Danio rerio: one gene and its partners. The protein of the gene in region 2 purifies or fractionates together with the protein of the main gene of each other region. This does not show direct contact. Links are inferred from orthologs where the notes say so. Each region holds a gene or a part of one and is shown on either strand. Other genes may lie near its edges.

Evidence for each region.
Region 1: the proteins of Na(+)/H(+) exchange regulatory cofactor NHE-RF2 (region 2) and prkd1 purify together in Homo sapiens (affinity purification with mass spectrometry; 3 studies listed by BioGRID and IntAct, with this or other methods). This does not show direct contact. The link is inferred for Danio rerio from reciprocal best matches to the Homo sapiens genes NHERF2 and PRKD1.
Region 3: the proteins of Na(+)/H(+) exchange regulatory cofactor NHE-RF2 (region 2) and kctd5a purify together in Homo sapiens (affinity purification with mass spectrometry; 3 studies listed by BioGRID and IntAct, with this or other methods). This does not show direct contact. The link is inferred for Danio rerio from reciprocal best matches to the Homo sapiens genes NHERF2 and KCTD5.
Region 4: the proteins of Na(+)/H(+) exchange regulatory cofactor NHE-RF2 (region 2) and phlpp1 purify together in Homo sapiens (affinity purification with mass spectrometry; 3 studies listed by BioGRID and IntAct, with this or other methods). This does not show direct contact. The link is inferred for Danio rerio from reciprocal best matches to the Homo sapiens genes NHERF2 and PHLPP1.
Region 5: the proteins of Na(+)/H(+) exchange regulatory cofactor NHE-RF2 (region 2) and arhgef6 purify together in Homo sapiens (affinity purification with mass spectrometry; 3 studies listed by BioGRID and IntAct, with this or other methods). This does not show direct contact. The link is inferred for Danio rerio from reciprocal best matches to the Homo sapiens genes NHERF2 and ARHGEF6.

Annotation. Positions count from the first base shown.
Region 1 is NC_133192.1:30,381,887-30,388,488, forward strand, and holds the start of prkd1 (serine/threonine-protein kinase D1), read left to right. Parts: upstream 1-2,481; 5' UTR 2,482-2,662; coding exon 2,663-2,827; exon of another isoform or gene 2,828-2,905; intron 2,906-6,602.
Region 2 is NC_133178.1:11,851,179-11,857,261, forward strand, and holds part of Na(+)/H(+) exchange regulatory cofactor NHE-RF2, read left to right. Parts: intron 1-4,601; coding exon 4,602-4,802; intron 4,803-6,083.
Region 3 is NC_133178.1:44,423,265-44,429,347, reverse strand, and holds part of kctd5a (BTB/POZ domain-containing protein KCTD5a), read left to right. Parts: intron 1-3,720; coding exon 3,721-3,829; intron 3,830-3,985; coding exon 3,986-4,077; intron 4,078-6,083. UniProt on the Homo sapiens protein: Its interaction with CUL3 suggests that it may act as a substrate adapter in some E3 ligase complex. Does not affect the function of Kv channel Kv2.1/KCNB1, Kv1.2/KCNA2, Kv4.2/KCND2 and Kv3.4/KCNC4.
Region 4 is NC_133177.1:279,271-285,353, forward strand, and holds part of phlpp1 (PH domain leucine-rich repeat-containing protein phosphatase 1), read left to right. Parts: coding exon 1-49; intron 50-1,015; coding exon 1,016-1,141; intron 1,142-2,937; coding exon 2,938-3,086; intron 3,087-3,842; coding exon 3,843-3,989; intron 3,990-4,523; coding exon 4,524-4,751; intron 4,752-5,103; coding exon 5,104-5,306; intron 5,307-5,475; coding exon 5,476-5,536; intron 5,537-5,672; coding exon 5,673-5,768; intron 5,769-5,859; coding exon 5,860-6,015; intron 6,016-6,083. UniProt on the Homo sapiens protein: Protein phosphatase involved in regulation of Akt and PKC signaling.
Region 5 is NC_133189.1:36,327,008-36,332,884, reverse strand, and holds part of arhgef6 (rho guanine nucleotide exchange factor 6), read left to right. Parts: intron 1-622; coding exon 623-716; intron 717-864; coding exon 865-963; intron 964-1,050; coding exon 1,051-1,150; intron 1,151-3,818; coding exon 3,819-3,873; intron 3,874-3,964; coding exon 3,965-4,087; 3' UTR 4,088-5,877. UniProt on the Homo sapiens protein: Acts as a RAC1 guanine nucleotide exchange factor (GEF).

The DNA of each region.
Region 1 (6,602 bases), on a different chromosome or scaffold from region 2:
AAACAGGAAGTACGAATTTGCTTGAAATAACGCAAAAACAACCAATTTACACTTTTTAGTGAAATATAGGTGTCCTAATAGTGTTTTTAGCAGTGTGGGACACATATACGACTGTCAACAGCTCAAAAAATGTGTTTTGGTGTTTCGTGACCCTTTAAGCTACTAATTTGCAATTTACTAAATTTGCAATTTACTAAGCTACTAATTTACAAATTGCAATGAGGTTTTTTAAAATAAAGTGTTAAGAAAATAAAAGATTTAATAAACAAAGGATCACAGAAAAGAGTTTACTTCCATGGCAGAATAAGGTGAACACAATCTATTCAAGATTTTATAGAATGGACATTTTAACAAAGTGTAATATTGCATTTTCACAGTTACCAACACCATAACTAGTAATCATCATAATCTGTTGTTTAAAATGTAATCTACATTCAAAACATTGCACTTTGCATTTTATTACCTGGCATTAATATACAGTTTTTTTTATTATTATTACAGATGTTGACTGCTGCATGAATGTTTTACTGGATAAAGAGCAAATTTGATGAATCATTGTTTTTTTCTTTCTATTGGGGTAAATAAAAAAATCCAAAGCTATATTTATTCAGTTTTTTAGTTGTTCCGTTTCGTTTATAATTTTATAGAAATATTTAACCCATGCAGTGCAACTCAACTATTCTAACTTTGGTTTCAGAAAAGCCTGGAGATGATTTCATGATTAATTTGTGGTTGCTATAGTGTTGTTAAGGCATTCTGAGAAGTTTAGCCTGTTGCTTTGTGGATTACAGAGAATTATGGACATAGATAGCCCATGTATACTCAGATGCCACATGATGACACCATCTATGATCCATGCGATGCCACTAACAGTACATTTAAGAAGCTTAACACTTTCCAGGATGCAAAACATTATGCAACCTCTGACTGCTAAACTGACTGCATTCTAGCATCCCTATAAAAAGTGATTATGTTTTAACTCAACATTACGTGTATTTAAATATAAATGTTGCGGCACAGGGGCTCAATGGTTAGCACTGTCACCTCACAGCAAGAAGGTCGCTGGTTCAACTCCTGGCTGGCCAGTTGGCAATTTTGTGTGGAGTTTGCATGTTCTGCCTGTGTTTGCGTGTTTTAGTTTCCCCGTGTTTGGGTTTCCTCTTGGTGCTCTCGTTTCCCCCACAGTCCAAAGACATGCGGTACAGGTGAATTGAGTAAACTAAAGCCATAGTGTATGAGGATGTGTGTGTGTGTGAGAGAATGAGTGTGTAAGGGGGTTTCCCAGTACTGGGTTGCAGCTGGAAAGGCATCCGCTGCATAAAACATATGCTGGAATAGTTGACGGTTCATTCTTCTGTGTTGGCCACTGATGAAGAATGGATTAAGCCAAAGGAAAATTAATGAATATAAATTTTTGTCATCGTTAGCTTGTCTTGTGTTACGACTCAAGCTTTTTGCGAATGTAGATATTTATGAATGGTTTAAACTACAGTTGCAGATGCACAGTCAACTTGCCATCAAATGTTTACATACTGGATTACATATAAAGACCAATTTAGTGGCCCATAGAAACGGCTAACAGCATACATATATTTCTGCATAATAAAAAGAGCCCATCCTCACAAGTTGATATGATGAATGATTGTACATATGTGAATGGGGGTTACTTTTATATCAAGCAACAGAACTGCCATTTTTTATAGAAATTATCGCTGGAAACTAACCTAGCTATATATATATGTATACCGTTTTTGTTTTATGTAACAAAAATAATAATAATAATAATAAAAAATATATATATTTATATATATATATATATATATATATATATATATATATATATATATATATATATATATATATATTTTATTATTATTATTTTTTCTTTTTTGTGTATGTATGTATGTGTATGTATATGTACACATATAAATACATACATTTTTTAATGTGTGTGTGTAGATAGATAGATAGATAGATAGATAGATAGATAGATAGATAGATAGATAGATAGATAGATAGATAGATAGATAGATAGATAGATAGATAGATAGATAGATAGATTCAGGTTTAAATCACAACTCGTAACATGACATTAGCCACACCTGTTACATAAAACAAAAACGATTATTCTAAAATCTTACATTGCTGTGTGAAGAATGATGCCCCATATGGTTTTGCGGAAGTATTTTGGCGGAAGCTACGGTTACCATGGCAATTATTGTCAGGCTACCGATTCCACTTCATAAGTCCGGTAAACGGGAAAAACACCAATTTTATCTATATTTCAAAGAGGGAAGAATGAATCCACAGCACATAAACTTTCAAATTCACATCCCCGATCGCCATTGCAGCATCATCTGAGCTGTGATGATGAAGGAGCCAGGAGGCGGTGTCTGATCAGAGCCCAACATTAAACATATCTGACGTCTATATCTCCATCATCATCATCATCCTCGCCTCTCAATGTCCAAATAACTCTTTGCATTTCCGTGCTATCGCTTTTTCCTCAAATTCACGTTTTTCGCTCGTTTACCCTCTGAACGTCTTTAGGGATCTGAAGTTTGCCTCAGTTTTGCGCAACCGGTGTGTGAACTCGTGTGTGAAACAGCCCGATCCGATCGCTGTCCACCAGGCGTAATTGTGTTGACAACAGGGGATTCATATGAGCGTACCTCCGGTAATCCGACCGCCGAGCCCCCTCCCGGGGTCGCAAGGCATTTCTTTCCAAATCCAGATCGGGTTGAGCCGGGAACCCGTCCTGCTGGACTCCGGCGAGTTCAGCCTGGCGCAAGTCCGAGAGATGGCATGCTCCATCGTGGACCAGAAGGTAACACTTTCCATAATCCTCATGTTTCATTCATTGTCGTTCACGTAAAAATGCCACAGATTTCATCACCCTGAACAAGAAGTGGCGGTCCGGAGTTTGGAAATAGCCCAACTTTTAGCCCACTTGTTACTTAAGCATTTATGGGAATTTGGAATTTCGTTCCAACCTCACATGATGTTAAGTTACGACGAACTTGAATGCTTTATTAAAATATTGCTTTTCATAGGCTATATCATCCGTTTATGTCTATAAATTTATGAGCCTATTATATTTAGTAATGTATAATTTAGGATTCTGCTACAGGTTCACAACTGAGCTGTAAACTTTCAAAAGGCAGAAAATTGCATTGAAATTGTTTTTAATTACTGATAGAACATTATTTACTTCATAACCTGAATCAGCTGAAACACACTGAATGTGTAGCGTCATTAAGTGTTCTGCATTGTATTTTCCATTGACAGTGATGACGTTTTGTAGCCTACTTATTGAGCCAGTGAGGGGCTTGTAGCCTACTGGAACACAGCATCACTGCACTGCAGGCCTGTCTCTTGTGCTGAAACCTTTCAAAATATTTAGTGGATTTTGTCCTCAAGTTGTTGCTTCCATGATATTTGGAAAATCTCATTATAGTAGATGTGTATGTTACAGTGTATATCAGGGCAAGTAAGGACTTTTTTTTGCCTCACCAGTATAATGTGGCATTGAACCAAAATTTTGGTTATTAATTAAACAGAATAATGTGAGAACTGTTTAATCAAACAGATTAAATTGATTGAATATACCAAGCTAAAGCATAATAACTGCTGCTAAGTGCTTTTCTGCTTTTCTAATAAAGCAATGTCAAATTTACACTAGAAGTTCATAAATATCAGTTATGAAATTGGCATTGAAAAGATCACCCAAAAATAATGTCAAAGGTGACATTCACCCTCAATATAACATTATTGATGATTTTTAGCTGGAATAGTCTTCTTTGATTCATAACATGCAAGTCATACTGACTGACTGTTTACACAGTTCACGCTCAGGACCATTTACAATGGCTGTGGATTGAAAGTAATTATGCTCAGTTTTTTAAACAGAAGCTATGGAGTTGTGTAGATTTGCTGTATATCTTTTCACTCTTGAAGTGCTGATTGGCTTGAAATTTATCAATAACCAAATTCACATCTTGGATAGTCTAAGGATGAGAATTAATAACAGATTTTCAATTCTGCTGGAACTATCCACCAAAAAGCAATTGATTTCTGCTGAGTGGTATAATAGGTGATCTAACAGAATGTTAACTTGAAATGGAGCTTGTAGAATAAATGCTGTGAAAATATGGTTTCTATATTACTACTAGAAATATAATGTATATAAGTTTCTACTTGAAATAAAGCGTTTCCCAAATCCATCATTCCGACGAACAATCGCAAACTGCATCGCAGACTTGTATGCTTGTAATTACACCTCTAGAGCTGATGTTATAAGCATAGTTCCTGGATGTGTTCTATTCCAAGTTATCCCCCCCATGCCCTATTCCTTTCGAACGTTCCATCATTCAAAGTTGGAATCATTAAAAAAAAAGCATTAATGTCATCTCTCTTAGGTGCAGTTTAGTTTCAAATATTTTTGCAGTTTAGTTTTAGCAATCTTTACATTGACAATTGCGTTCCCTTTTTAATGCACTTTGAAAACATTGATGCCACTTTGAACGCAGCCGAGGCTCATGATGAAAGCTATAGGTGACCTATTATTTAAAAACAGAACTTAGGTTTGGTCTCTGAAGCTTGTGGAAACAAAAATATATAGCAAACGTTAATGCTTTTAATTTATAATAGGTTATTTACTAAGAAATGTATCTGTACTGTATATGACATGGGTCTGTTGGTTAGAACATTTCTGCAGTGGTTTGAATGTGTCGTTGTAAAAGCAGACTTTACTATGCATCTTACTATAATAGTTCAGCCGCAAGTTATGTTGTGGTTTGGGAAACAAACCCCTGTTCATTAAAAAGTGGCTTATATTTGTTTTTCCTCACAAAAGTAACTATAGAAGACTTGAAATATAAGAGAAGGGAGCATAGGTAAATATAGTTTTACCTATCTTCAAAATTGGTCCTCTGACAGGACTGGGTGATTAATCGAAAAGCAATCAAATCCACATTCAGAACCTATAATCGTTCTAATTTTTCCAGGTCAATTGTTTACATTACTTTTCCTAGCTCTTTTTTTTGACTGTTCTTTTTAGGCAATGTGTGTTTAGATTTCAGTTGTTCAATGTTGATGTTCAATAAACAATCAGAGATAGTAGATAGTGTGCGTTTCTTTCAACTATTTTAAAATCAAGTATGCACCCTTCATTTTAATATAATATGTGAGCATATTTACAGTACATAACTTGTCAGTGAACTATAAGGGCAAAAAATAAAAAAACAAAATAATCATTCATTATTGTAATTGAGTTAAATTTGAGATTTAGATTTTAGGCCAAATCGCCTAGCTAGGCATGGGCAGGTATAAGATTCTAATGGTATGATAACCTTGGATATAATATCACGGTTTTACAGTATCTCAATATTGTAATTACTGCTCTAAAACTATTTATATTTTAAATGTCTGGGTAAAAAAAACAACTTTTTCCCCTTTGTACACAATATATTTTAATTTGGGAAACATTTAAAATATTTTGGAACAGTAAACATATCAGGCTAAATGAATTATTGACTTCTGCTGTCTTCATCTTTTGGGATCTTTTCTGCTGAGATACTGCTGTCCTAAAAAACTAAAAAAAAATTTAAAATCTTATTAATACCTTAGGAATGGTATAGCAGAAAATTTTGACGGTTTTAAAACCTTTACTTTTCGAAAACCGCGGTATACCTTGAACATTAACGATATCCCCTGCCTTTAACCTATTTAAGTATGAACATTGAAAGCGTTGGGTGTAGTTGTGTTAAATAAGCATTCTGATAAAAAATGAATATGGCGTATAGTTGTTGTTTTTTCCTTTAAAGCATTTGGAATACCATGAAGGTGAAAGTCAAAGCTGAAAACATGTGAACTCACAAGCACTTAAGAGTAATGATAAAGTTCAAGCCTTCTCTGTAGATTCGCGTTCTCAGAAATGGCATAACAGTGACAACACAGAAGTCAAATTGTCACCACCCCTTTTAAATGCACAGAAGATGGCATCTGTAAAGTTATTAATATCTTTTTTTTGCAAAATGTGTTTTCTGTTTCGTAAGCACCTGTTTCTGACACATCTTCAGAATGTTACTAGCTCCAAAAATATTACTTATTGTGCGCATCTTGCAAAGTTTGTGACAAGACGCGAGGTGTTGACAACAACATAATTTCCCACCATTATCAAACGTTGTTTTCTTCCCAAATTTCCTTCCCTCCCTTGTGGCTCCCTAGTTTATTCGGTGACACAAGTGCAGAGGTTGCAGTCTGTTGTGTTTTAAGACATGCAGGTGTTAAAACACAGAGCCGTATTTTGATAAACATAACAACAACAAGCATCATGTGACGCTTAACAAGAAACACCTTTTATTTTAGACCTGTCATTGCCAGTATGAGTTTTGGAAAACAGAAGTTCTTGTTTAAATGTATTTGACTTGAAAAAATGCGACCTGCAACCTGAGCTCCTTCAACGCCTTGTATACACGTTTTCGGATTAGGATGCTCTCTTGAGGATAAGCACTCTGAGCATTTAACACGTTAAATAGTTCGATGTGAGATGTCGAATAAGTGTGTACGAGGTGAAGGTGACATTGTTGTGCAGACAGTCT
Region 2 (6,083 bases):
AATGTAGCTTTCTGAAGCCTCTGTGTATGTTTAACAGTAGAAAAGAGTCAACAGCAAAATTAATTACAGCGATGTGCTCACGATTGATATTGAAGAACTACAAACTCTCACTTCCCTCATCTCCCTCTGCTCATGGTTTTTTGCTTTTATTTTATTTATTTTTATTTGTGACAGAAAAGTACATATTTTATACGGAATGTTTTATTTTGTTTGTGTATATCTCAATTAAAATAAGAATTAAACTTCCTGACTGAGTTTTTCTACCTGTTCTTTTTCTCTTTCATGTGTAAGTTTAATGTTTTGATTTCGATGACTATTTGTTTTTTTTTAGTTTTAGTTCATTCGAATTTCATCCCATTTAACAATTCGAAGCCTTCTGATTGGGTATCACGTCATTCAGTGCATCTGTGCATTGTTTTCTGGAGAGCTTATGACCTACTAACTACGTTCTGCCTTATGAAAGTGGTGCAACCGAAGAAAGTACAAACTGTGCAATAAACTAGCTAAAACTTTTGTACATTTTAGATGCCATAAGGTACACATTTTAGGTACTAATTACACTTATAGGGCACTATTTTGACGGTCCATGGACAGAGCGCAAAACGCAGGGCGCAAATGCTTTCAGGGCGTGTCTGGACGCGTTTTTGCTAATTTAAGGACGGGAAATCTGCCTTGCGCCGCGGCGCATGGTCTAAAAGGGTTGAGTTTATTTTCTTAATGAGTTATAGGTGTGTTTTGAAAATAAACCAATTAGAGTCTCATCTTCCATTCCCTTTAAGAGTCAGCTGCGTCGCGCCAAGAGCGCATTCGCTATTTACAGGACGCAAAGTAAGTCTAAGTGGAAAAACTGAGCATTTCACTAGCTAACAGTTAACAGTTTTTTAACAGAAAACTGTTGAACAGAGCATCTACTGCGTGAGAATGAGAGATAATCGATCTACTTTCACTTTCGCTCTTGGATAGGGAAACCTTTACGCACAGACATCAATTAATCTATAAATAAATACTTTTGTTTGTTAAGCGCAAATATTCATTTCAAAACTATTTCTAAATTCAGTTCTAATTTCCAGCAAACGAATAAATGAATAAAAATAGCAAAATGTGCTCAAAAACCTGAGTTATATCCTAAAACACATGCTGTGCCCCATATGGTCTAAAACGTGACAGGTGGGCAAATCTAAGCTTGTTTTTAATAAAACAAATATAAATATGGATATATTAAATAATACTGCTAATAATAATAACATTATACAAAAGAAAATTGTTATGAATGAACTGAAAAAGCCTCCCGAGATGAAGACGACATAAAAGCAGTGATTTTTCATATTTTTTTAGGCTAAAAAATTATGTTTTGTAATATTTTAATCCTTTATATTTATATTCTATATCTATTCTTATTATATACTATATATATCCTTAATATTTAAATTTTTTCATATGTAAAGATATTTGCCTATTGCTCTCTTGTGTGTATTAAGCAGTGTGTAAGCGAGGCGCAACTCTGCGCCGGAGTTTAGACCGGGTTAGTTTTGGTCTAATGTAAAATCTATTATAGTTTCTCAAAATAGCAACGCGCCAGCGGTCCACCTCAGAACGCCTTCCTTTTTAGACCAGAACACCTATGGGCGCAAAAATGAGCGCTAATGCATTTGCTATTTAAACAGCATAGCGCAACGCCTCAAAACGACTCTTGCGCCAAGCTGAAACTACCAAAAGACTACTGCGCCACACTGCGCCGGGTGTATGATAGGGCCCTTAAAGAGGACCTATTGTGCCGCTTTTTACGAAATGCAAAATAAGTCTCTGATGTCCCTAGAGTGTGTACATGAAGTTTCAGCTCAATATACCTCCTAAAACAGGGGTCAATTTACCCAAGGGCAGCTGGAGGCCGAGTTTGCTTAAGGCTGGGCCGCATTAAGTTTTCCACAAGAAATTAATTATATTATTAATTATCAATTTCTAATTTGTTTATTTTTTCATCTTACTTTATTATGAAAAATAAAGAGATTTGTGAAGATTGGAATTTTTCAACACAAAACAAGATGAACACAACAAAAAAAAAATTTAAATTAATAAGAAAATAATTTAATCAGTAATAACTAGTAATAATAATAATGATAATAATATATTTACTGTTATCTGCTGTGCCGTAGTTGTCATTTGTTTTGACCAATATATATAATGTTCATTGTGTGAGGTAATGAAAATACAATGCAAGTAGAGTGATGCAAATGACCCACAAATAACAGTGCGATGCTATAACTGGTCTGGTTACCGGGGACTCTTACTGCCGATGGACAGGTGTCGATATGTGACTGCAGACGATTTTGTTAGACTGCAATTGGTTCCTTACTTCTCTTTTATTATTGTATGCATCACTTTGATTTATTTTGTCTGAAAGAGAAAGACCTCACATCAACTCTCTAAGTGCCATTTCAGTTCACTTCCAAGTGAAAACTCTGTCTAATCTTCAAGAAGTTAGCTCCTACGTCATGTTCTGTGACTGACTTAACTCGTGTTGCTTCTGTATCATGCAATCCAGATCCAGGGACGCTGTTCCAGGTTCTCCAGATCTCTTATGATCAGCTTCATTATCAGATATACTCGTGGTTAACTCTTTGACTGACCGTGTTAGCTTTGATTCAAATAGTTACGTTTTGGTGACTGTCACTTTAAATTGAAATGAATTGAGATTCCCAGCCAGGGCCTTGCACAGGGGTGTGGCTCGGTGGCTAGAGCCTCTGCCACTCTGCCCTCATTGGCTGAGGTGCCCCTCTCAGGTGACCAACACAAGCAAGTGAATGTATCTTTCAAACGTGCAATAACTGCAATGAAAAGTAATGAAACACTGTTTACTCATTTATATGAATGTGTTAATAAAAAATCAAAAACATTATATCGTTTAACTGCATTTTGCAAATCAAAGAGGCCATTTTTAACTGCAGGGAACACAATAAATCAAGGTAGATCCCGAATTCTGCCAGAAAAGACAAACATGTTTAGTCATTTTCCTTTAAATCATTGTGCTATTTTTTTTTACAGGAAAAAATGTATTTATGTTTTACAGTTATTGGTTTCATTTTATTTTACTTTTAAAAATGTAATAATAAATTAAGTGTTGTTAATTCTGTTCAATTAGTTTTTTTGTGTTTTTTTTTTTTACTGCAAAAAGTACCGATTAGAGAACTGTTAAAGTACCAAACCGATAAGTGCTATCAAAAAAAGTAGTAATACGTATAAAACCTTAACGATACCCATCCCTACTTCAATGATTCGATGGATCATGTTCACATCTGAAGTAAACCATAATGCACTTTTCAAACAGACGCGGGTATAGTTTGTGGTAGGGATGTAACGGTATCAGAATTTCACGGTACGGTAATACCTCGGTATGAATGTCACGGTATGGTATTTATTGAATCATTTACAGGAAAAAACAAAACTTATGAAAATACTCCAAAAAAGTGCCAAAAGTGTCAATGACATACAAATTAGTCATCTATCTGTAAGCTTTGAAACAGGAACTTCAATTTTAATAACAAAAAAATATTAAACCATGTAAAAAAATTAAGTTTCAATTTAGTAGTGTTGAAAACTCATCACATTCAACATTTAATCACTCACTCACTTAGATAGAGATGGGTTTAAAGGAAAATTATCATATAAATATAATCTGGTAAAAGCTGGTATCTCTGGGTATTTACAATGTCCCCTGCAACAGAAAAAACCCTCTCATTTGGGACTGAGGTTTCTGGGACAGAAACATGACTTGGCCCAGGTTGACAGCAGTGGGTAACGTTGTGCATTGTCTTTCCCCCACTTGAGAGGACAAACCATGAGTGAGATAGAGGTCTCATGTCTGCATCAATCTGAACAGTGTGCTGTGTTTCTGCAGTCCCCATGATATTAGTCGTATTCCCCAACTTACAGGCACGTGCACACACATTGCTTAACCTGTGCAGTGCACATGCCCTTTTTAGTCTTGGATAGAAAGTTCCCTTCCAAAATGATCAAAAGTGCCCCCGCGACGCGACATACCCTCCGTCCCCGCTTTACAGTACGCGCGCGACAACACAGCTGATAAGAACTCGCGCGACAACACGGCTATTCAGTACGCGCACGACAACACAGCTGATAAGAACTCGCGCGACAACACCACTATTCAGTACGCGCGCGGCGACAACACCCGCTTTAGAGTTTTTCAGCTCTTTTTGATCCCCGCTTCTAGCAGCACACTCCATTTCCGCATTACTGGATCTGTAGCGACAACAGACCGCAAGGGATGATGGGAATTGTAGGTTCCGGTACCTCCCATTCGCTTCATTCGCCTGAGCAAATTTTTTCAGAAGACCTAAAGTTTTACCGAGTCATGCGACTACGGTAATATCGAAAAAAATTAATATTGCGGTATGACGGTATTTACAATACCGTTACATCCCTAGTTTGTGGGTGTGCTCCTGAGTTCAGAAGACAGCGTTCACATTAACCAAACAAACTGAACTCTGATGTCAAACAATCCTGGGTGCTCATCAAATATTGCAGCGTGAAAGCATTCTAAATGTATGAAGATATCATAAATGTCTGTATTTCTCCTTTGACAGGATGTTCAGCCCTCATCAGAATCCTCGACGCGGGATCCATCTGAGCTTGTCCCGAGGCTCTGTTTCCTGGTTCGCTCTGACACGGGTTACGGCTTCAATCTGCACAGCGAGAAGTCTAAACCGGGTCAGTACATTCGGGCGCTGGACCCTGGATCGCCCGCTGATCGCGCCGGACTCAAACCACAGGACAGACTCATAGAGGTCAGACCACAACAACACACATATTCTCATACAACCATATCTGAAAATCTATCTTTAAACTAGAGAAAAAAAGTTTCCTTTTCTTCTCCATATGCACCAGACACTTTCTTATAAACACTCCAGGCCCTATCATACACCAGGCGCAATGCGGCGCAAGGCGCGATGCAAATGTTATTTGCTAGTTTCAGCTTGACGCAAGTGTCATTTTGACGTTTTGCGCCACACTGTTTAAATAGCAAATGCATTTGCGCTCATATATGCGCCCATAGACGATAACAATTGCCCATGACAATTTGCTTTTGTATAATGTTAATATTATTATCAGTATTATTTATTAATGCATATTTATATTTGTTTTATTAAAAACAAGCTTAGATTTGCCCACATGTCAGGTTTTAGACTATTTGGGGGACAGCATGTGTTTTGGAAATAAATCAGTTGTTTGAACACACTTCATTATTATTGTTTATTTATTCGTTTGCTGGAAATTAGAACTGAATTTAGAAATAGTTTGACAAATCTTTGCTCTTAACAAACAAATTAACTATGTAGGCTAATGGATGTCTGTGCGTACACCATATTTCCTTATCCACGAGGAAAGAGAAAGTGCAAGTTTAGGCCTATAGGAGGAAGCTCATTCCTTATCAAATGTGATATGGTGTGACACAACTGACTCCTAAAGGGAATAAGAGATGAGACTCTGATTGGTTTATTGTCAAAACACACCTATAACTCATTAAGAGAATAAGCCCAACTCCGTTAGACCATGCGCCACAGTGTGTATTTTTCCATCCTTAAAATAGCAAAAGCAGATTCGTACACGGCCTTAATGCTTTTGGCCCTGCGCTTCAGACTTTGCACCTAGATCGTTAAAATAGAGCCCTCCATGTTTCTGGAAGACAAAGTTCTGCACTGAAGCTGAAGCTCTGCACAAGACTTTTGGCCAGCGGAGAAATTAAAATGGTCGTGCCCAACTGAGTCTGGTTCTCTCAAGGTTTTTTTTCTTCACTCCCATCAGGTGAAGGTTTTTTCCCCTCTCCGCTGTCGCCACTGGCTCGCATGGTTCAGGATTGGTAGAGCTACGCATCGATGAATTTGCTCTACAGTGTTTGAACTCTCAGTAATGATTAAATCACACTGAACTGAGCTAAACTGAACTGAACTTAAACACTAAAACACTGAACTACACTGTTCCAGTTACTATGACCATTTATGTGAAGCTGCTTCGACACAATCTACATTGTAAAAGTTCTATACAAATAAAGCTGAATTGAATTGAAC
Region 3 (6,083 bases), about 33 Mb from region 2:
TACACATGCATATATTATGTAAATACGAACTGTTATCTTGTATGCGATTAATAATTTGACAGCACTGAATATTTTACATTCATCTCATAACATTTATTTTTCATTCTTTGTGATGTAAATGTCATTCTTATGAATGCTTTTTTTATTTTTTCCAATTGCAATAATTGGCTTAATCTTTTTAAAAAATAATAATTGATCTGCAAAACAATTAGCACACAAATAAACTGGTTATATATATATATATATATATATATATATATATATATATATATATATATATATATATATATATATATATATATATATATATATATATAAATATATATTTATATTTATATTTATATATATTTTCTTCTTCTTCTTCTTCTTCTTCTTCTTCTTATTATTATTATTATTATTATTATTATTATTATTATTATTATTATTTATTATCCTCCAGCATCAGTGTTTTTAATAAATCCTTCAGTTTCTTCCATGTGTCACAAGAAGAAATGGGGTTGCCTGCATGCCTTTAAACTTTTAAAGGTCACTATGCATCATTTATTAGGGCAACGACATTTGAAAGCCGCTAAATAGACAAAGAATTTCTTCTGTCCAAAAATATTTCTTCCAAATTAATTTCCCTATCACAAGGTTGAATTTGCGTGACTTAACTGTAAAGGTCGCTCTCCTGAACGCTTTAATGCGAGCGTGAACGCTGTGGAATAAAGCTGACTTTTCTGACCTCGGTATCGATCTGTGGTAATGATGTTGTGCTGGAGATGGATCAGCGTCCCTATGGGCTCTGCTGCATGTATGTTAAATGTCAGCCACACCTTTTCTTAACAGACACGCTTCTGTATCCATCAACCACTGTTTGCCATTACTTGAAAATTCCTTCGAACAAAGATCCAGAGGCATTGAAGCCAGATTTGGAGCTGCAGAAGGTTTGCATTCATCCTATAGGTTAAAAATAACAAAATATATATTTAATTTTCTAAAAATTGTCACTGCATAATAAATGTTTACTCGCATTGTTTTCTATTCAATCTCAGACTACGGCAGTGATAATGTAGCAGAATGCAAATAGAAAATAGTTTGTGATTTGTAAACATTTTGTAAAACAGAAGTAGTTTAGAGGATGTCATTTCACATGATTAATTTTGTCAGATTACAGAACAAACAGTATGGGTCAATCTGGAATCTGCTGACTGTAAAAAGTCATGTGGTTGTGATTTGCCAGCACATTTATATGACTGGATTGGACAATAATCAGATTCATGGATTGATTTACTCACCTTTGACTTGTTTCAGAATAATAAAGATATTTTAAAGAATGTTGGAAACCTGTAATTATTCACTTTCATAGTATTTGTTAAGGATGGGAATGGTTACAGATTTTCAGCTTTCTTTAACTTATTTTGCGTGCAACAGAAGACTCGCAAACTGGTTTAGAACAAATCAAAGGTGATTCTTAGTTTTTGGGTGAAATATGCCAAACAAGGTCAAATATTTTAAAACATTAGTTAAGACTGTAGGGCTGCTCGATTATGGGAAAATCATAATAACGATTATTTTGGTCATGATTGTAATCACAATTATTCTAAACAAATGTACAGTTGAAGTAAAAATTATTTGCCCTCCTGTTATTTTTTCTTTTTAATAATCATTTTCCCAAATGATGTTTAACAGATTCAGGATTTTCTTTTGCCGCATTTTCTATAATATTTGTTTCTTCTGGAGAAAGTATAATTTGTTTTGTCTTGGGTAGAATAAAAAAAGGTTTACATTTATTTTTTGACCATTTTAAGATCACTATTAATCCGCTTAAGCAATATAAAAAAAACTACAGTTCTACAATGACTTTCCTTATTAACCTAGTTAAGCCTTAAAATGTAATTTTAAGCGGAATATCTTAATAATATGTAGTAAAATACTATTTACTTTCATCATAGCAAAGATAAAATAAATCATTTATTAGAAATGAGTTATTAAATGTGTTATGTTTAAAAATGAGTTGAACAAATCTTACTTCCATTAAACAGAAATTGGGGAGAGAAGGGTCACTTATAATTCAGGAGGGCTAATAATTCTGACTTCAGCTGTATATATATATATATATATATATATATATATATATATATATATATATATATATATATATATATATATATATATATATATATATATATATATATATATATACATATACATACAGATACTATGGATGTCAGTGATTGCAGGTTTTCAACATTCTTCAAGATATCTTCTTTTTTGTTTAACAGAAGACAAACTCAAACTATAAATATATTTTTTTGTGATCTGTCCCTTTAATTGATCATGAAATTTATTTAGTTTAACTTAAGGAACCCTTTGAAATGTTTTACTTTATCAAATTTAGTTTTATTCAATGTTAACAGTGAAACATTTAAGATGATTTGTGGCATAATTATTTAAAATAAAGTTTATATTATTAGTAGTTAGGAATGGGTACCAAAACTCTGTACTTTATAGGTATCAGTGCTACATTATAAAAGACAGAAGTATCGATAAGCTTTGATGTTAACGGTTCTGCTATCGATACTGGAGAATTATTGCTGAATAAACATTACTTACAGTAGCATCCCGAGTGGACAGCGACAATGCTCATTGCAACAAAGTATCTTTCAAAAAGGCATTAACTGCAGAACGGCTAATGAAAAGTTTTTGACTGCCTAGCTAATAACGCTAACGTGTTACATCATCCACATTATTATGCCAGCAGTCGATCACCTAAATTAGTATGATATTAATAGTTAAATAAACACACACATTTGTTTACAATGACAACAGTATTTTGTATATACATTAAAAATGTTTTTACATCAGCTGTATTTACAAATATAGCCTATTATTCATAAATATAGCCTAATAATAAACTATGCTTATAGCAAATATAGCCTAATAATGAACTATGCTTATTAAGAAAAAATTTTTTACATTGCAAGATGCTTCAAAACTTCATTAAAACACGGGTAACTCTCAAAACACTGTTAACTCATTTTTGTGAATGCGTTAATGAAAAATCATAAACATTCTCATTTAACTGCATTTTACAACTCAAAGAGGGCATTTTCAACTGCAGGGATTGGAAACACAATAAACCAAGAAAGATCCGACTTCTGTCAGAAAAGGCAAACATGTTGATTTTTCTCCAGAAAGTTTTTTTTTCTCTTCATTTTTTTACAGAAAAAAAAAATATATATTTGTTTTACAATTATTGGTTTTGTTTTATTTTACAATAAAAACGTGATTGTGTAAAGTGTTGTTAATTCTGTTCAAATAGTTTTTTGTATTTTCGGTAAAAGAACACTACAAAAAGTACCAATAAGAGAACTGTTAAAGTACCGAACCGATAAATGGTATCGATAAAATTGATAATACTGTTAATAGCTCAACGATACCCACTGTAATAATAGTAGTGGTATTTTATTTACAGCTGTATTATATAGATGTACATTATTGTGGAGAAACTGATATGAAACAGTATTTTGTATTGTAATAGCGTGTATATTACAATGTAATAACGTGGTTAAAATAATTGAATGTGCTTTATTGCGTATAGTATTTGTTATATTTATAAAATACAAACCTACTGCAAGCTCCACTTTCATAGTCCTCAGTTGTATAAATGATGTTTGTCATGCTAAAATTCTTCAGAGGTCAATACTGTGTTTCTAAAAATGCTGTTTTCTCTTCTAGGATGAAACGGGTGCTTATTTGATAGACCGAGATCCCACTTATTTTGGTCCAGTGCTCAACTATTTGAGACATGGGAAGCTGGTGCTGAACAGAGGCCTGGCAGAGGAAGGTATGACAGGAACTTTAGGATACGTTCAGACATGCTTTAAGATTTTTTCTGTTGTTTAACTGACGGCTAAATTCAGTTTTAACTTGTTTGTTAGCTGTTTTTGTAGTCTGATATGCGGTTTATGGTTTATTATTTAATCAGTGAAATGTTCCCCAGGTGTGCTGGAAGAGGCTGAATTCTACAATATCACTTCACTGATTAAACTGGTCAAAGACAAAATCAGGGAGAGGGATTGTAAGACCGCTCAGGTAAGATGATTTTATTTTATTTATTTAAATGTACTCTTTTTCAACCATATTTTCTAACTTATTTTATCCTTTTGAGGTGATCTTTAACACTGTTAATCCAAAAACAGTTTTAGGGTCTTTAGCCCAAAAATAAATTGTACAAGTTTAATATCATTTATAACAGTATTATGATTTTTCTCCCAAAAAATTAAAAATAAATAAATAACTATAGAAGCTGACATAATGTTAAACAAACAAATGAGAAATAATATGATGCTCTGCTCTTCTTTTAAGTGAAAATCTCCTGTTACTTCCTCTTTTCACGCTGTTGAGGTCACACGTCTATATATAAACAGTAAAAAGATGCTAAGTAGTAGGGCTTGGCAATTCAGCAAATTTACAATTCACTAATTTACATGTTACTATTTGGGTTTGCCTTTTTATCTTGGACTTTGTTTTGAATGAAGCACATTTGCAAGAGACGACGTTTTGGTTTGGAGTTTGCACCTAGGTAGATGTTCAAGTAATGCCTTTGTAATTTGTGTTTAGTAATTGTATGTTCTGCTGGGCGATGTGAAAAATCTTATATCACAATAAAAGTCATCTCATATACTGATAACAATATATCATAATATATTCAATCATGTAATATTGACCACATATAAAATACTTTTTAAAGTATATACTCACGTTTGTACTCCTTCATATGTGATTATTTTTTTTAACTTTGGGCAAATGTTTGATGTAGGAATGTAGAAATCTAAAATCAGTTGTAATAAAAAATATAATAATAATAATGCATAATAAATATTTGCATTTCTAACATAAAATATTGATTATATAAAATGCCAAAAATTTTACTTTTAAGCTTGACAGGGTTTCTGTGGTTTCATAAAATCCAAATTTTAAAATCCTTAATTTACTGAAATATTGTGTTGTAGGTCTTAACTTTCCTTTGTTCCTGAATTGCTATCCAATCTGGCCAACACCCATACAATCTATCCATCTCTGGACAAACTGTTGTGCATAGATTTAGTTTATTAGAGTTTTTAAACTTTTAAAACATTTGTTCATTTTGATTTTTAACTTTAAAAAAAGTTTATTGGAAAAACAGTGTAAAGATAAAAAGTATAGCTTGCTTGTTTTTACAGTCTTTCAGATGTTTTGCTTAAAAATATGTAAAATATTTGATTTTATATTATTAATTTTAGTATTGTATTAAATTATTATATTTTTTGATGGGTCTAATTTGAAATTCCTTTTGAGTCTAGCCCTTTATGAGTCTAAAACTTGATTCTGAATGGTCTCAAATGTCTTAACTTTTTGCTTGAGACTTCTTCATCATGCTGTTGATGCATAATTCCTGCCTGCATTTAGAATTTGCTCATCCAAATAATGAAACATTATTACCAGGGATCGATGCTAAGGATTTCTTCTAGTGGCCTGGTTGGGCCAGTGGTAAAGATTTTTACCTGCCTTGCCAAAGGTTGAAGGTCCCAGATCACCAGTTGAAGCAACAGAAATCTTCTTAAAGTGAAATTAAACCAGATTAGTAGAGTGTAGCATTACACTAGTGTATTTCATAAAAAAGAATATTTTATACAGTTTTTCTGTACTCGCATTCATAGCTTCAAGTCAGTAATCCAAAACAGTCCATCTCAAAAAGGTTAAGATTAAGACAATACTCTGATTAAGAGTCGACCATGTAAACAGCAATTTTTTATTACCTTAATCCAAATAAAGTCATAATCAAACTAATCAGAAATTGAAATGAGGCATGTGGACTGTCTTTTTTAGTGGCATTATTGAAGTGCAGTACAGACATGCAAACACCGCAATGAAACTATTTTCGTCGCATTTTGTTACAGGATATTCCACACACTCTCACACACACATGCTAGTTTGACACTATTTTCTGCACCTATCGAGTCAGTGAAGGACCACAGATACCCGCATTGCAAAATGCAGTTTTTTTTTTTTTTATTTTTTTATTTTTTATGTTTTTAGCCATTTGAATTCAATTTAAA
Region 4 (6,083 bases), on a different chromosome or scaffold from region 2:
GGCCAGCCATACGGGGAAGATGCACATCCTGCCCCTGATTGGAGGAAAGGTACTGAACCCTGCGTATTATTATTATTATTATTATTATACATATTAACTTTATTAAACACTCATAATGAGTGCACGATGAGGACAGAGGAAGAGCCGGGACACACCAAGAGTTCTTTCAGGACTCTCATCAAGATTCTTCATGTTCATCTTCAACGCCTCCTCCTTCATGCTCAATAATGTTGATATCTGGTGACTGGGCTGGCCAATCCTTTGATGTGGAGGCTGAAGTATGAGGAGGAGCGCTATCCTGCTGGAGAATTGTCCCTCTCCTGTCATCCTGTGGTTCTTCTCCAAATGTCTTGATAGCTCAGGCTGTTGATGTTGCAGATCTCTCGCACGCCCCCATACTGACTGAACCCCAAACCATGACTTCTCCTTTACCAAACTTGACTGATTTCTGTGAGAATCTTGGTCTATGCTGGTTCCAGTTGGTCTTCTGCAGTATTGGTGATGATTGGGATGCAGATCAGCAGATAGAAATCCACCTTGTGACACTTGATGATCAACTGGAAGTCAGTAGTGTGTCCGGCTAGTGTGTTTGCTGTTTTCCACATAGAGCTGCACAGACAGAGGTGAGCGTCACAGTCAGAGCTGCTTGACACTGCAGGAAACACACGGCTCTAATACAGCTCACAGGCACTCAGTAGTGTTTACTTCAGCCTTCAGCAGCTCTTGTGGACAATATCCTGCACAATACTCTTCTGTCTTGTGTACATGAGTAGTCTGTGTCAGGGTAAGTGTGGAGTTCAGTATGTGCAGTAGATGTACAGCTCGCTCATGTGTAGGTGTACTGCAGCTCTTGTGTCCGGTGCTGTGTTCATATTCATCATCCTTGTGTTCATTAATGGTCCTGCGAGACTCCACTGCTTACTGTAGTGTAGGATAATCTGCAGCAGCAGTGAGCTGGTGATCCTGTCTGATGATGATGATGTGTGTGTGTTTGTGTGTGTGTGTGTGTGTGCAGGTGGAGGAGGTGAAGAAACACAGCCACTGTCTGGCCTTCAGCTCGGCGGGTCCTCAGAGTCAGACCTACTATATCAGCTTCGACAGCTTCACTGAACACCTGCGCTGGCACCGGCAGGCTGCGAAGGTCAGTGTGTGTGTGTGTGTGTGTGTGTGTGTGTCTGTGTGTGTCTGTGTGTGTGTGTGTGTGTCTGTGTGTGTGTGTGTGTGCGCACATGTTTACAAACTTGTATAATGTCATGCTGTATGACACTGGTATTACAGAACATGAGGTGAATCATGAGGACAGTGCTGATGTCACTATTGCACTGCTTTGTTTTCATTGGTCAGATTGCATTACTCTGCTCTGATTGGTCAGATTTCATTACTCTGCTCTGATTGGTCAGATAGCATTACTCTGCTCTGATTGGTCAGATTGCATTACTCTGCTCTGATTGGTCAGATTGCATTACTCTGCTCTGATTGGTCAAATACCATTCCTCTGCTCTGATTGGTCAGATAGCATTACTCTGCTCTGATTGGTCAGATTGCATTACTCTGCTCTGATTGGTCAAATACCATTCCTCTGCTCTGATTGGTCAGATAGCATTACTCTGCTCTGATTGGTCAGATTGCATTACTCTGCTCTGATTGGTCAAATACCATTCCTCTGCTCTGATTGGTCAGATAGCATTACTCTGCTCTGATTGGTCAGATTGCATTACTCTGCTCTGATTGGTCAAATACCATTCCTCTGCTCTGATTGGTCAAATAGCATTACTCTGCTCTGATTGGTCAGATTGCATTACTCTGCTCTGATTGGTCAGATTGCATTACTCTGCTCTGATTGGTCAGATAGCTTTACTCTGCTCTGATTGGTCAGATTGCACTACTCTGATTGGTCAGATTGCATTACTCTGCTCTGATTGGTCAGATAGCATTACTCTGCTCTGATTGGTCAGATTGCATTACTCTGCTCTGATTGGTCAAATACCATTCCTCTGCTCTGATTGGTCAAATAGTATTACTCTGCTCTGATTGGTCAGATTGCATTACTCTGCTCTGATTGGTCAGATTGCATTACTCTGCTCTGATTGGTCAAATAGCATTACTCTGCTCTGATTGGTCAGATTGCATTACTCTGCTCTGATTGGTCAAATAGCATTACTCTGCTCTGATTGGTCAGATTGCATGCTGTGTGCGACTTGCTATGTGTACCAAACATATAGATGTAATTGGATTTGCATTTTACAATTTAAATTTAATGTAAAACATCAGTAATAAATTATTATGTGATTATTTTTAAGTTTTCTGTCCTCCTGAAATCATTCTGCATAAGTTAGCAGATTTAATTATATTCTGTGCAGTAATAGCTAACACTCTCAGCATTGTGTGTGTGCGCCTGCTCATTAGCATGTGGCTCCTGATTGGTCGGCTGTGAAAAGGTCTGTCATTGGTCGCGGTTTGTCCTGACAAGGACACCCATCGCTCCATCAGGGAGATGTGTGTGTGTGTGTGCGCGTGCGTGTGTATGTGTGCGTGCGTGTGTGTGTGTGTGGAAGCCCTAGTTGTGAGTCCTACTTTAGCACGCTTCACTATGAAGGCAGCATCCTGAAGCAACACAAGTAGGGCAGGGCAGTGCGCGCCGGGAGCCTCAGATTAGCAGCAGAGACTGCGGGAGGGATTACTGCATACACACCTGCTGATTGGCTGACTGCAGATCACCTGATCATACACCTGTGACTCAAGAGATACTGCCAGAGGTGTCATCCAGCGCACAACTACTAAAAACAACACTGCATTTCAATAGTGTTATTATTATTGTTTTACTGTGTGTGTGTGTGCGTCCGTGTATGTGTAGTGATGTTCATATATGTGTAGTAATGTGTGTGTGTGTGTGTGTGTGTGTGTGTGTGTGTGTGTGTGTGTGTGTGTGTCCATCAGATGGTGTCTCAGAGGATCAGCTCAGTGGATCTGTCCTGCTGTAGTCTGGAGAAGCTTCCTCCAAACCTGCTGTTCAGTCAGGATCTGACGCACCTCAACCTCAAACACAACTTCCTTCCTGCCGACCAGACGCTGCTGCAGCTCCAGAGGTCAGTCAGGGGTCACGAGGACACCAACACTCCCACTGTAGCATGACAACACTCTGATTAAGGGTCCACTGTGTAGATTTCTGATGACAATGATCTGACTAGGCGACTCAGCACTGTCACCTCACAGCAATCAGGTTGCTGGTTTGAGTCCCGGCTTGGTCATTGTGTGTTTCTGTGTGGAGTTTGCATGTTCTCCCTGTGTTGGTGTGGGTTTCCTCCGGGTGCTCCGGTTTCAGTCCACACACATGCGCTATAGGGGAACTGATCAACTACACTGGCCGTAGTGTATGAGTGTGTGTGTGAATGAGTGTGTATGGGTGTTTCCCAGTACTGGGTTGCAGCTGAAAGGGCATCCGCTGTGTAAAATATATGCTGCAGTAGTTGGCGGTTCATTCTGCTGTGGCGACCCCTGATGAGTAAAGGGACTAAGCCAAAGGAAAATGATGTCATAATGCAACTAACACAGCCACGCCCCTCCAGCTGTCAGTTTGGACATCGCTATGACAACAAGCAGAAATGGTGTGACAATGCTGGAATAACTCTCCCCAAACCCTTCTCCACATCCTTCTGAATGAAACGCCCACTTTACCACAGCCAATCAGCTCACAGTAGAAAAAACAAGCCACGCCCACTGTTTTCTCATTTAATATTCATATAATAAGCGGAGTGTGTTGTATTAATAGTGGAGTGTGTTGTGTTAATAGTGGAGTGTGTTGTGTTGTTATTGAAGTGTGTCTCTGCTGTGTGTTTCCGCAGGTTCAGTCGTCTGCGCAGTCTGAATCTCTCCAATAATCAGCTGTGCAGTTTCCCGCAGGCGCTCTGCTCCATCAGCAGCCTGAGCGAAGTCAACCTGAGCTGCAACCGCCTGCGCTCCATCAGCCCCGATATCGCCCGCATCAGCAGGTCTCACACACACGTTCACTAACACAACCATACACTCTTAATCATGACTTCTGCGTGGTGTCGTGCGCACATGTACACCCGTGTCGTGAGCGTACAGCACTCACGCAGAACCATTAAACACAGCAGCAGGCTGAAGCACACAGGACAGGGTTTCTCTCAAATGAGCTGATGATGTGTCAGTGTGTGAAGCGGAACAGTCTACTCAGACACTCCATTATTCTGCTGACACTATCTGCTGAATATTTCCCTCCATTAAACACAAATTGGGGAAAATATAAGAATTTAAAAGTAGCAGGAGAGCCAATAATGCTGACGAGACTGTGCTGTGCTGCCCTCTGCTGGACACTGCGTAACCTGCATCTCCCTCTGCTGTGCTGTAACTGATGCTGTGTGTGTGTGTGTGTGATGATGATGCGGATGTGTGTGTGAGTGTGTGTGTGTGTGTGTGTGTGTGTGTGTGTGTGTGTGTGTGTGTGTGTGTGTGTGATGATGATGATGATGATGATGCTGATGCAGATGTATGTGTGTGTGTAGCCTGCAGACGCTGGTGCTGGACGGTAATCTGCTGTGTTCGCTGCCGCTGGAGCTGGGCTCTCTGCACCGGCTGGTGTTTCTGGGTCTGTCCTTTAATGAGTTCCAGCAGGTTCCGCCGGTGCTGGAGCGGCTGCCCGCGGTCGAGAGGCTCTGCATGGCGGGAAACAAACTGACAGAGCTCAACCTGCAGAGCTTCAGACTGCTCACCGTCAGACACGTGGACCTACGGTGAGCACACACACACACACACACACACACCATCATCATCATCATCACATGATGTGTACATGTTCAATGAAGTGTGTTTGTGGAAGGCTATTCCACAGTTTAGGAGCCATATATGAGAAGGCTCGAGCTCCTTTAGTGGACATGGCTATTCTGACAACTACAAGAAGCCCTGGATTAGAGATCTTGTCATCGTTCTCACACACACACACACACACACACACACACACACACACACACACACACACACACACACACACACAGCATCATAATGTGATCGAGGCTCTAGCAGTGATTATGCATGCTTGTGCTTGTGTGTGTGTGTGTGTCTGTGTGTGTGTGTGTGTGTGTTCAGTCTGAATCAGATCTCCAGTGTGCTGCGGGACGAGCCGGAGTTCTTGCGCGGGGTCACTCAGCTGGACCTGCGGGATAACTGTCTGCAGGAGCTGGACGCCTCCGTGTTCCCCCGGCTGGAGGTGCTGCACTGCCAGAGGAACCGCATCTCTCAGCTGCGCGTGTGCGGCGCTGCGCTCAAAGCTCTGCACGCATCCAACAACGGTACACACACACACACACACACACACACACATATATGCTCAAAGCTCTGCACGCATCAAACAACAGTACACATACACTCACACACACTCATGCATATGCACACTTTCACTCAGATGCATATACACACACACACACGTCTGATCCTCATGCTGTGTGTTGCCCTCCTTAGAGTTGCAGGAGATTCTGGTCAGTCCTGCTGCCTCAAACCTGACGTACATCGACATCTCCAGGTGTGTTTCCTCACACACATCACAGCAAACACACACCTGAGCGCATTACTGGCTGCTGGTGAAATAAAAAAACAATAATACACTCATCCAATAACCCCCCCCCCCCTCTCTCTCTCTCTCTCTCTCTCTCCTCCAGGAACTGTATGAAGGCTCTTCCAGACTGGTTGAGTGACAGCAGGAAGCTGGAGGTTCTGGACATCAGTCACAATCAGATGACGGAACTTCCTCCATGGTGAGTGTGTGAAGTGCCTGAGTGTGTGTGTGTGAAGTGTTGACCTGTGTGTGTGACATTTTGACCCGTGTGTGTGTGTGTGTATCCGCAGGTTATTGTGCAGCTCGAGTTTGAGGAAGATTCTGGCGGGTCACAATCAGCTGAAGCGTCTGTCGGAGCGGGTGGAGCGCCCCCTGGTGGAGGTGCTGGATCTACAACACAACCAGCTGGAGGAGCTGCCCTGCAACCTGTTCCTCAAGACTGATAGGTCAGGCAGACACACACACACTGGCACATATATAAACACACACATATAAACACACACACACACATATA
Region 5 (5,877 bases), on a different chromosome or scaffold from region 2:
ATTTGTGGAACCACTTGAGGGTGAGTAAATGATGAGTAAATTTTATTTTGGGATGAACTATCCCTTTAGCCGTAAATGAAGTTTTGCTAAAACTATGACTAAACTGATTTGTTGTCAGTGACGGTAAATGATCATCAAGAAAATCAAATGTCACTAAGGTGGTTAACTCAAAATGCATTAAAGCTGACTTCAGCCATAGCAGATGTAAAATGTTAAACCCTAAATTAATCTGTAAAACAGTATAGTGCAGTTGGTTAAAATAACTTGATCTAATGAAGTTTTCAATCCGGAAGATTCCACATTAGGTGGTGTTAGCACTGAAAGAAAAACGTGGGTGTAACAAAGTCAACAAATGACTCAGTCTGTAATAATTAATTCCCAAACAGACAAGGGTCTCTTTGCTGCAAATTGTTTTCATTCATGAGACCCTGATAATTTGCTGCTAAATTATCCTAAATGGTGTCATAACTTATGTAAGCCAGCATTTATTGCTCTTCATTTCTTAGCATCCTCGCTCGGGATTTGAGCGTGAATGAAAGTCTGCTCGCTGCAGTGTTGTGGTTTTTTTTATTCAATGCTTAGCAGACGCCGTTACTTCATTAACACCACACTGTTTCCTCAGGACTCTAGTAAAAGCCCCAGACCCATTAAGAAGTTCCTCCCCAAGAGAAAAACCGAGAGAAAGCCATCAGACGACGAGTTCCTGCTTAGAAAAAGTAGGTTCAGTCAATAAAAAAGACAAATCTGCTTCATTTGAATTAATTTTTGATTTTTTTCCTAATCAAAACAACAAGCGGCATTGCCAACTTGTCTTTTAGCATCTGCAAACAAATAGCAATGATGTATTGTTTGTTTGTCTCGCAGGTACGGCAGCTCTAGAAGAGGACGCCCAGATACTCAAAGTGATTGAGGCCTACTGCACAGGAGCCAGTCTCCACCAGTCCACCACAGGTTTTATGTTCTGTACTGTAATTGTCATATGCGTTGTATAAGTAACTGAATATTCAATAGCATTAATTTGCTAAAAAAAAAACTGATTTGCTCACGCAGCTGTTCGTAAAGAGTGCGTCCCGCAGGTCCTGCTTCCAGAAGAAGAGAAGATTATTGTGGAGGATATCAAGAGCAATGGCCAGACCACCATTGAGGAGAAGTATGTCCAACTATTTCCATATATACTTACATAAGATGTTGCTTACCCTGCTGTTGTCTATTGGAAGGAGTGCATCAATAGAGCCGCCGTTTTAGTACAGTGTAGCGCTCCTTTGAAATTAATGTGGGACCAAGGTGTAACGAAGGACTGGCCATCTGGAGGCATAGATATGTAAACATTTATACTTATATCTATGATCAGGAGTTTTTTCCAGTGGTCAGTATGCAAATGTTTTTTTAAATTATGAAATTTATAATTTGACATCACTTTTCTACATCGAAGAATAAGTGATCGCACAGGCATTGCCAACAAAGAGTGTATGTTTGTGTGCATGAAAATGTATTATCCTCCCTCCCTGTTAAATTTGATCCAATTTATTTCCTGAAACACACCCACTCTCCCGCTTTCACTTCTAATTCTAACAGAGGGAGCGATTCATTTGTGAATGATTCCAAATTATGAACGTTATATCCATGAGTTCCAATGTGCATATCCAGACCAAATTTCTTTCTGATAAAGACATTATTAGACTTTCTGATCTAAATGGTATATAACATTTGTAATATTCAATCATTTACAGTGGACAGTTTGCACATTGAGGCGCAGGCACTGTTATGTTATGAGGCACCCATATAAGTTTCTTCAAAACTAGCTGTTACTTCACTTAGCCGACAATAATAAAAGTTTAATTAAAAGTTTCTGGCATCAGCATCTTGTTATCATATTTCATTTGCATTGTTTGCTGATTTTATTAAACAAAACTATCATAAGCCTAGCCTTTAGTGCGAGTTGGTGCTACTTTGCCTTATGATCAGTGTAGTAAGTGACTGTATTATCATCAATAACGTTACTTGTTGAGCACAAAAGTTCATAAACAAAAACTTAAAAAACAAAATCTTACCTATGAAATGTAGTGTCTTCATGTTTTGTTTTCTTTGTTTGTTCTGTACTACACCCACAAAAGTTACACAGTGCAAAAGACCAGCATCTTCAGATTAATTTTAGTCTTGACTATGTGTTGTTGATTGACTTTAATCCTGGGAGCACTGTACAATGTAATGGCGGTATTGATGCATGCTCAGGGTCCGTATTCGATATCTAGTTTATACAGTATATCTATGGATTATATCTAATCAGAATTCACATGTGCAGGAATGAGCATTGATTTTTGTAGTATTTTTACTACATTATCAATTTTCAGTGCCAGATTTATGAAACATTTTATTATTGTTTTGTAAACTATTAAAGGTATCAGATAATTGACATCATATTTACACTGTAAGTGACATGATTTGTTACTTGTTAATACAATTTTTAATGAAAATTATAACAAAATTGTTGATATTTTCCTAGAAATAGTGCAGGATCAAGGAAAATTTCTATTCATAACAGACTTTTATGTTTGCTTTCACTGAGGATGCCCTGATAGGATGATTTGACAAAAAAATATAAATATTTTAATTAGCAACAACTGGCTCATTTTTATACCATTTTGTCACTTGATCAATTATTTAAACTTTTGTCTTTAAAAAAGATCCCTGTGTTTATTACATCTTCAATTAGCCAAAAGCTAAACCAGAAACAATATATGCATATGTTTTTGCTAGTTTATTGCTACATTATTAAATCATTTTTGTTTAACTATGCTTAAATAAAATCTATTTAGTGTTCATTTTTTTGTTATAATTAGTATTTTAATTATATATTCATTATTGTATTAAATTATCCTATTTACCCACAATTTAATCAGTCTAAGAAAAAACATTTGTCTCTTTGAAGTTTTCTGACACCACTAAGCAAAGACTGAGTTCTGTATTAAAAATAACATATGGAAAACTGCTAATGATGTCACAATGACTACATTTACATGGACATCAGTAATATAAATATTTGCCTTAATCTGAATAAGACAACTTTTTTAAAAAAAAAACAACTTTTTAATAATACAGTTGCTTTTTAAATGTTTCTTTCATGATCCTGTTTTACGTGTCATAACACATAATTCGATTAACATCATTGCATCACCACACTATCCACATTTCTTCCAGAGTTTCATTTTTAGTTTGTTAACTTAAACTGCTGTTTAGTACTTGTTCATTCAAGAGCATTTTACGCATGCCCCTGTAACAAACAAGATATTGGGTGCAACTATGAAATGGAGGAAGAGTGTTGTTTTAATGAAAGAATAGTGTCAAACAGCCATATGTATATAATATATCCTGTCGCAAAATGCGGCGTAAATCCTGCATGACAGTTATAGTTTGATTAAGATGTTTACATTTCTGTATTGCACTTCAATAATGCCTCTAAAATCGGCATACTCAAATGTTTTAGTTTGATTTGTGATTATTTTGATTATGACCTTAATCAGATAAAATTAATAAAAAATGGCTGTTTACATGGTTGACTCTTAATCAGAGTATTGTCTTAATCGTATTAATACTGTATTATTGGTGTCCATGTAAACATACTTATTGACAGTTAAAGGGTTATATTAAATACTATTTCATTATCATTGTTGTGCAAATAGATTTTGTACATATTTCATTTGGTTTTGATGTGTATTTAATAATATTAACGAAAGAAAAACAGGATAAATTATATACTATCCTTTGGTTTAATTTGCTTGGTTGTTCATACCTAAAAAATGCATTGTACTGTTTTGCAGAAGTCTAGTTGATGCCGTTTATGCCTTGAAAGATGAAGTCCATGAATTAAAAAAGGTAAAATTTTGAATTATTATTTTTGTCAGCCAAAACTATAACCAGGATAGTAGGATAGTAGCATGATCATCTGGTGCTGTACATTTTGTAGGAGAATAAATGGATGAAGCAGTGTCTGGAGGAGGAACAGAAGTCTCGTAAGGAGCTGGAGCGTGTTGTCAGAAAGTTGGCCAAGCAAAAGAACGACTGTTCCTGGGATGAAGGAGGTCACTAAAGAACACTCGCCTTTTTCCCCTCGCCATTTGCATGTACGTTTTTTGTGTCACTGTGTGTCCTTGCAACAATCACATTACACTGAACGTTGCTTTTGAAAAGTCTCCATGTTGGGGGTTTTCAGCCATTTCTCATCAAAGGTTTTTTTTAAGGACAAGATGCGATGAGAATATCAAATCTGTGACTTTTTATTCTGGCTATATGGAAGAATATCACTGTGCGGTTTGTTTTCACGCTCCTGTGAAGTGGCGTTTTCAGAACAAAACAGCAGCTGTTCTCGAAGACCAAGTGAACTGCTTATTTAGGAAGTATTAGGTGATTTTTCTTCTTGTGGAGTCCTGTCCTCAACCCTTCAACTTTCTTTCTTGTTCACTCAAGCACTCCAACAAGAAACATCACATAAAAAAAGATGATGGGATTTCTTGTTTTTGAACTGAACAAATATCTGCCTCACTTTATGACTGTTACTGGTCATGGACAAGAGGAATCTGAAGACATGAACAGCATTCCAACTCAAGCCGCTATTGCACAAGTAAATAGATGACCGTAGACTTCACCGTATCCATAAGTATTGTCCTGTTTCTGCTTTTATAATGTGAAAACGGTAGCGTGAGAGCTTTTAGGTCACAAGTGAACAAGATTTAGGTGTGCGATTTGGTCCTGATATAGATATGAGATGCCCTACTTGCCATCTTGAACTGCGATTGCTTTATCCTGTCACGGTGTGTTTTCATGAAACCGCTTTTGACTAAACATTTAGTTTTAGTTAAAAAAAAGTTTAGCCCAATTCTTTCTTTTTTTTTTTGTTTTGCAATTCAATGTGCAAGTTTAACGTTGTTATCAACCGTAAACTATTTAAAAACAATGACTCCACTCACATCCATATTACGTGTTTAGTCTGTATGGATGAACCAAACATGCACTGACAGACTACAGCACTGTTTTTACATTTGTAAAATGTTGCTTTACAAAGTGACATGTTGATCTAATAGCCTGGCATGCAGAATCTATTTTTATTTTTAATCTATTTTTAATCTAAATTTTATTTTATTATTTTGGATTTCAAATTTTAGATTTGCAAAAACTTTTAATATAAATTTATGATAAAGAAAGGTGAATTACCAACCAACTCAAAAGTGATGGATTGCCTAAACCAAATAATTGTATCATTGCGTCTGAAAATGTCAACTACTCAGTAGGTGCCGCATTTGAATTTAAACGTACAACTCAGCTGTTAGAAAAGTACGTCCTATACAGTATGAATGTCATTAGTATGAATTGAACTCGGACATACTACTGCACATCCACCATTTTGTCATCATCACGTGTCCTACCAGTGCCAGTTGCATCGCTTCACTCCCATTCATGAAATCTGTCGCGGTACATCATGGGATAGCGTAGCATCTATCTGATGCGCGCTTTGGCGGTTGATTCTGCTGTGGCGACCCCAGATTATTAAAGGTACTAAGCTGAAAAGAAAATGAATGAACGGACGGACGGACATTACTGGCGCAGCAGAGCTGTCAAGTTTCTGTTTGTTTCCAGGCATAGGCAGCAAACATTTTTCGCCCTTATATTTTCTTTGCAAAATTAACACTGTAGGTTTGGAAATAAAACCCCATAACAGTACTTCAGCTTTAGATTCAACATATTCACAACTTGTTTCCCAGACAGTCACTTCATTCTAAAACATTACAGCAGCGAGGGGGCGAGGCTGAGAGCTATGGGAATGGAATGAGGCCGGCACTTGAGTGAGAAAGAGAAGCACCTGTGGCACACACTGGCCTTGAG